2 linked regions of the Arabidopsis thaliana genome follow. The protein of the gene in region 2 interacts with the protein of the main gene of each other region in a pairwise test. Each region holds a gene or a part of one and is shown on either strand. Other genes may lie near its edges.

Region 1 (3,761 bases), on a different chromosome or scaffold from region 2:
CGCTCACAACTTCGAAAATGGTTGGCAGCTCATTAATCATCTGGAACAGCCTCTTCCTGAAAAAGAATCGGTCCATGGCATAAGCTTAAAGGCAAGTGATAGCTAAGTTGTTCAAACAAACCTAATGCCAGAGAAGAATTTGATGAGATTCAGAATCAACAACTCATTCTGCTCAAGCTTTTCGTTTAACCTGTCAGCTACCAGTATCAAATAATGGATTCAGTGATTGTTGCTGAGCTCTCAACAAAGGTACAATGCAGTGGAAACTACCTAGGCTAATTACAGTGATCCTGCACAAGACTAATACAAGAAGTACTAATCAGACTTAGAGGCACATATCACATCTATTGACTAATATATCTATCTCAATAACATTGATCCAGATTGGTGCGATTCATAACTCTAGTCACTTCAAAATAGAAACTGGGAACCACTTACAAAAAGAGTTACACAGAAACCGACCCTATAAATAAGATCACGTGAGTTACAAAAATCCACACAGAGATTGTTGTATCAGACAAATAGACAAAACAAGAGGATGCTAGAATGATCATTATAACCTTACCACACATGAGTACACCCAATATTGTCATAATTGAGATGCAACACTCAAAAACACTGAGCTTGAGAAGGACCCTTACCTCTCATTCTTGCCAAATCCGAAACGTGCACCAAAGTAAAATGCAACAGAAAGCAGCCATGAATCACTGTGAACTGCGACCAAAGATACCCAGTCCTTTTCTTGCATTCCGTCTCTAGCGAAATTGATGCCTAAAGCTGGTTCAGGAAGCTCAGGAGGAACTTCCTCAACGGGTAGATTAACCTCCCATGTCTCATTTGGAAGTCCATAGAGACACAAATTCTCCTTCTCTACATAAACAAGAATGAAACACCTTAAAGAAAAACCACACAGAGGAGGACTAACTAACTCAATCTTTAACCAACACAATTCAACAACATACAAGCTCAACAACTTCAACAAAACATTTCACTAGAAACTATAGAAGCTAAGCAAGACTAATTTTTTAAAAGTTGTGAAGAAATAACTCACCAGGATCACACGTTTGGTAAAACTTCACCATATCTGCATAAACAAAACACAAAACCCAGAATCGTCAAATCTCACAAAAGAAACCCAAAATAAAAAAAGTTCTTCTTTTTTAACAAATGAAAAACCCAAATGCCACAAAATCGTAACTCTGTAGATACTTATCATTCTGATTCGCAAGTGAGAAACAAGAATCAGACCAAAACTGACCATTAGTGAGAGCTTTAATAAGACCAGCTCGTCGACCTCTGAAGTCGCTAAAGACCTCTTCAACAGTACGAGGTATTGGATGAGTAATTCCCTCCATTTCACAAACGATGTCGCCGGAGAAATCGCCGGAGAATATGAGTACTCCGGTCAAAATCAAAATCTGAGACAAATGTTTCCAGGCAAACAAAAGAAACCCAGAAGGAAAAATATTCACTTTGGGGTTTCGGATTTGGAGAAATGAAATTTGTAAATCTCTGAAAGAGAGAGTTTTTTTTTAATTTGGGGGAAATTGAGAAAAGAAAAAAAGAGAAAGGAGCTACAAACCCTAAAACGATAAAACAAAAGGGACCGATCAAAGATTAATTTTGGGGCTGAGAAGTAATATTAATAAAGACAACATTGTCTATTTTATTATTTTTGTATTAATTAAATAAAGACAACATTGTGTATTTTATTATTGTTTATGTAATAATATAAAATCTATTTATTAATTCCGATCTACATACCCTATTTTTTTCCGAGCTACATTCCCCACTCCCAAATTTTACATTATTTTTATTTTGGTCAAAGACATTTATTTAAATTTTATTTTATTTTTAAAAGTGTCGACGAAAAAAACATGTATTTTTTTTTTTTAACATATTCATTTCCATTAATATTACGAAAAAAAAACATGTTTTTATACGTAGGCTGAGGCATCCAAATTGATCCACAAATTTGGTTTTTGTTTTCAATTAACTTGACCTTAAAGATAAAAGTTAAAAGTTAAAACATTCAGGTCCATCTTGTATTGTACAGAAATAGCATGCCTGGCCCATTAAAGGATAGTGGGCTTTTATAGTAACCTAGGGGAAATGAGATTTGAAGTTTTCAACGATCATCACATTCACGTATTTTGAAAGTTTTTTTCACGATATACACCAGAAATAGATATTTTGAAAGAGAAAGCTACTAAAAAACGGAAAACATTTTGCCTTTTATCACTCAAAAAAATAAAAAATTCATCAAATTTTTAATTATTTTATTGTTTTTATGTGTGATTCTAGATGTAAGAATTAAGAAACGAACCAATATTAATCGGATTCGTTATCTTTGAATATTTTTGCGTTAAGCACGTCGTACTAGCTAGCGAATACGTTTACCGCAACTGTAATCTAATTCGTCACAGAATATCAATGATGTGGTATAATCAACTATAATCTTCTTTTTTCTTTGGGCAAAATCAACTATAATCTATGAATATATACTTACTAATATAGGTGATAGACATATATTATTTAAAATAATCTAAGAAAACATGCAAATACGGTTACATCGACCGGTTAGAAAGGGAAAAAACTTTAAAATTAGTACTTTCGTATCATATTCAAGTCAGTATATATTAGGATTTTGCCACATTACATATATTATTAAAGATTGTTAATAATTAGGATTAAAAAGACTAGTATGAGAGTTAAGTCAAGTTTAAATTTGTTTTTCTCATTGAGAAAAAGGGAACTGATTTCTTACAACATACAACTGTTCATGCTGGTCATATCTGACAAAATCACGGGAACAACTGCTCTTACCAAATATTGCACGTCCTATGCTTTTTTTTTTTGTCAAACCCTAATTAGTCTTATATTTACAAAGACAAAAAACTAGCTAACATCTTTTATCTTTATATATTTCTATCTCAAAATTAGTTGTTGAATTCTTAAGAGTTAGTGGATTGTTTATCTATAAAGTCGCACTAACAGGTAACTAAAATTAAACATCTTGGATCTAATGCATGTAAATGACAATGCAAAATGAATTCTAATAAGTGATGAATAAACAACAAAAAATATCAACATTCAATTTGAAATTTTGAAATGGAATGAAGACCAAATTAAATATCACTAGGTTGGATTTACGGTTACTATTGTTATGGTTTAGTTAGTGTTTGGTTTTAGTCTGGTTTCGGTTAGGGCTCGTACATGAAAATCTAATCCAATAAGTTTATTTCTTCTTTGGTTTGTTTGAGAACTTTTGATACGGATTGCACTCCTTAGTCATTTTGTATTCATATATTACAGTGAATTTTTTTTTTTTAACTACGTTGAATCTAGCTTAAAGAAATTAACTTTAACACAAGAAAAAAAAAACTACTTAATTGACTATATATGTTGAGAATCAGTTCCATTACATAAACTCGCAGTAATCAATCATTGTCTATCGCCATAACAATATATAAGGAGTATGAAAATATGGCAAAGCAGCATTAATAATTATTGTCATGGATAATAATCATGATCTAATTAAATTACTTAAAAGGAATATTAGTATAGTGATCTCTGTTTCCATCTGGTACTATTGGATTCCACATATCCCACAAAGCATTGTTTGGAATCGTTCCTGCAGGAATCATGTTCATAGCTAACGCCGCTTGAGTTTGAGGCATTAGCGTTGTCGCTGTAGTCGCCGCAGCCACCAATTGTAATGCGTTTGCGTTAGCATTTTGTTGTTGAGTATGATGAAACTG
Region 2 (3,761 bases):
TGGCCAAATGACAACGACGTTATCACTTAAAATATTTTTCTAACAAACTGTATACCAACAACATAAAAGCATAATATATAAATTGTAAATTGGATTTGCAGGTTTGCTACATGCAATTCTGCAAAAACGAATACTAAAATTAAGCTCATTTTCATCCCATATATATATATATATATATATATATAATAGTTTATAAAGAAAATAAAGATAAGTAAAAAGTATTGGAAAGCTATCGACATTTAAAAAACAATCTGAGAATTAAAAATGTTTGGTTGAAGACCCTTAGATCAGAACATCGTCGCGGAATCGGACGGTGAAGAATCAACCAAGTTGAGAATGCTATTCCAGTAATTCTTGTTATCCTCATAGTAGTTATACTCACTCTCATTCCCCACGCCCGCCGTCGCTTCGTTTTTCCCGGTGGGTAAACCCCGGCCGACCGAATCACCGATCAATAGACTCGTGAATCCTTCTCCTATTCCTCCACTACCACAGTTGATCTGCCTAATCCAGTCGTGTTCATGTTCTTTGACCAGACTCACATCGGAGGAGGTTGACGAAGATACGGCCAATTCAATCATCGCCGAGGACTCATTGTTGTTATTGTTTCTATTTCTGCTGCTATCCGTAGGGATTCCTAAAGGCATCAGAAGATTCTCAGAGAATGTCACCGTCGATGTCGGAGATTCAAGCTGTTGGTCTCCGTTTCCTGTCACAATTTTCCATTGATACGTTACCAAAACCAATCAAAGTTGAGAGTTTTTTTTAAGACGATGTGTCCCTTACCTTGGTTTGGTTTAGTCCAGTTTGTTGATGTTTTTTGAGTGAAGCAATGTTGTTGAGGAGCTGCTGATTTGTTAAGGTTGTTATTGTTTTGGTAATGCTGTAAATGGAGAAGCTTTGATTCTCTAGCTAGCCTTGCTTCAGCTTCGAGTCTTGCACTCTCCCATTGAGCCATATGACTAAGCGTGGCTGCGTTCTTTGATTGTCCTGTGGAAGACGAAAGAGTCTCGTTTTTGTGCTTGTGAGTCACTGGATCTATCCCCATTTTGATCAGACGTTTCTTCAAGTGTGTGTTCCAGTAGTTCTTGATCTCGTTGTCTGTCCTCTTTGGTAAATGAGTTGCAATCGCTGACCACCTATGACATTTAAAGGACGACGATCAATTTGCTTTCAAAGCAATCACTTGGTTATTTGGTTTGAAAGCAGAGATTGTGATTGAGTCACCTGTTTCCGAGGAGAGCGTGGAGTTGAATGATGGTTTGTTCTTCTTGTACAGTGAATTTGCCTCTCTTGATGTCAGGTCTTAGGTAGTTAGTCCATCTGAGTCTGCAACTCTTTCCACACCTTTGGAGACCTATAAGGAGTTTGAAGCAAAGCTTTGAATAGAGCTAGAAGAAAATGTGTGGTTTTGTTGAAGAGAAAAGAGCGAGCAAGTTACCGGCTTTCTCAGGCAAAGAACGCCAGCTTCCATGGCCATGTTCTTCAATATAAGCCAAAAGTTTCTGATCCTCTTCTGGAGTCCAAGGCCCTTTCTTCAACCCGGCCTTATCACAACATGGCGATCTGCCCATTGTTTTCCCACACAAGTTATTAGTCTAATCTACTGAAGAAAAAGCTAGCTTCAATCTGATCCACGGTTTAATAACCTAGTGTATGAGATAGTTGTCATTACATGATCATGATCAGTATGATCACAAAAGCTGCTCTCTTGGCGTCACTCTGATATATAGATGGAGAAACACAACAGAAGATGTCTCTGTTTAGGTTCTGTAAGCGCCCCTTTTCCCGGTCTCTGACATGGATTGGCATTCAATTGGATGGGGTCGAGAGATATTATTACCTTTGTGGCTCCAACACCTTGATTTCCTTTTAAAGACTCAACAGAGCACCCAATTACTGTAGCCATCTTTACCTTGAAATTGTACCTCTCAACACAAAAGTAAAACAGTGAATTTCAGAACCTGGAGTAAATTTTAAGGTCAACATCTATCAATAGCTCTCACTTTGATAACCCTGCAACTTAGGATAATGTCATTGAGAAGAATGTTTTTCTCATTAGCCTTAAACAAACTTTGTGGTCCTTTAACAGTTTTGACATTTAAACCATTCTTGTTACTTTCCCGCATTTTTCTCGCGTCAAGGTTCGCTGTCGACAGTCCCCAAATGCACTAAACCCATTTAAGCTAGTTACAAGTTTTAAACACTTCTCACTAAAACTCAATTATCTTACACTAGGGTCTAAAAGATGCTCAAGGTTTCTTATTACAGGTATCCTATTGAGTGATGGTTTCTTGAAAGCTACAAAGTTCTTATTGTTTTGTCTTACTTACGGTCTTGCCTACAACTAGTTACCCTAATAAGTTACACTACTTTATGGAAACGTGTTTATTGATTTCTTCGTTTCACATTTTAGTTAGCTTTTTGTAGAAACTCCACAATAGTAAATGCTGTTAGATGGCGGTGAAGAAGTGGAAGCTGGCACTATAATGGGAAAAGCAAATCAGACACAGAGGATTAATGATATTTGGAGTAACTTAGAGCAAAAAGTCTTAATGATTCATAAACCCTGATTATAGAAGGAAAAAAAAGGGAAAATGCAAAGTAGTTGCAAGTAATTAATTGGTTGTCAATGATGTCATTAGCTTAGACTTGTTGTTTATTCAATTAGTCATTGCTCTGCAAATGGTATAATTCTCCCTGTGGAAGCAACAATAGTTTTATGGTAACACATTTTTACACTAATAGTCACTGTCTCTAAAGTATCAGAAAACTATGACCGCGGTAAACACTGAGTTTCAACCATTGTAAAAATTTGGAACCCTTATAAATGAAGAGAGGAAACACTAATGTGGTGGGAGCAAGAAGAAAGGAGGTGAAAAACCTTTCCTTGTCTGGTTCCTTTACCATTTAATGAAAGTCCCACTGGCTGCTCCACTGTTCTTGGTGTCAATTCATCACAAAATCTATTTTTTCACAAAGATAAACTAACATAGACAATGAATGATGAAAAGTATACAGAAACTTAACCATCAAAATAGCGACTTGATGAGGTAAAAACCACTATTTGGTTACCCTTTAACTAGTAGCATACCACAAAAGGTAAAATTTGACCATAATCAGAATTGTATAATTTGTTACTTACTGACCATTATGCAAAATTTTAGTGGCATACATGGTTTGGATAGTTTACAGGTGATCAAATGTTGTCGACAAAGGTAACTTTGGCTGCCAAGAAAGGTAGACGAGTAATGGCGGTGACGGTGACATTAAAGAGATTTTACCAGACCAAACAAAGAAAAGAGTATCCTAGTGTGTGCCATGGTAGCAAAGAAAGGATTTATTGAGGTGGGCTCCAAGCTTCTAGGAAGAGAAGAAAGTATCTTCATCAACACAAAGATAAACCATAAGACAAAATCATAAGGCCCAACGAATTGTACCAATAAAAACAAAATTGAATTTTGGAAAAACTAAATCATACTGGCTGCAAAAGATGTAAAGGACAATGGGGACACCTCTTTAATTGTCTTGGCTGATTTCATCTTTTATGGTCCAAACAGTGCTCAATAAACTTCATAGATGATGATGTTGCCACTTGTCAAAATCACATCCATCCACGTAACGTAGCTGAGATTGAGTGAGCTAAGAAGAGGGGCCAAAGCTTTTAAAGTCAACTGATAACCATTTGCTTTTCTTCATCATCAGTTTTTGGACCAGAAATTATAGTTTCTTAAATTCTCACATCAATGCTCCAAGTCTTT

The links.
Region 1: the proteins of MYB106 (region 2) and AL6 interact in a two-hybrid assay, tested with the Arabidopsis thaliana proteins (one large-scale study listed by BioGRID).

Annotation. Positions count from the first base shown.
Region 1 is NC_003071.7:650,431-654,191, reverse strand, and holds the start of AL6 (alfin-like 6), read right to left. Parts: upstream 1,617-3,761; 5' UTR 1,356-1,616; coding exon 1,259-1,355; intron 1,085-1,258; coding exon 1,052-1,084; intron 871-1,051; coding exon 642-870; intron 57-641; coding exon 1-56. Other genes in the region: LOV1 (NAC domain containing protein 35), read right to left, coding at 3,543-3,761. UniProt on the Arabidopsis thaliana protein: Histone-binding component that specifically recognizes H3 tails trimethylated on 'Lys-4' (H3K4me3), which mark transcription start sites of virtually all active genes.
Region 2 is NC_003074.8:46,332-50,092, forward strand, and holds MYB106 (myb domain protein 106), read right to left. Parts: upstream 1,966-3,761; 5' UTR 1,813-1,965; coding exon 1,676-1,812; exon of another isoform or gene 1,575-1,675; coding exon of another isoform or gene 1,567-1,574; coding exon 1,442-1,566; exon of another isoform or gene 1,358-1,441; coding exon 1,228-1,357; exon of another isoform or gene 1,140-1,227; coding exon 787-1,139; exon of another isoform or gene 710-786; coding exon 288-709; 3' UTR 65-287; downstream 1-64. UniProt on the Arabidopsis thaliana protein: Functions as a repressor of epidermal cell outgrowth and negatively regulate trichome branch formation. Acts both as a positive and a negative regulator of cellular outgrowth. Promotes both trichome expansion and branch formation.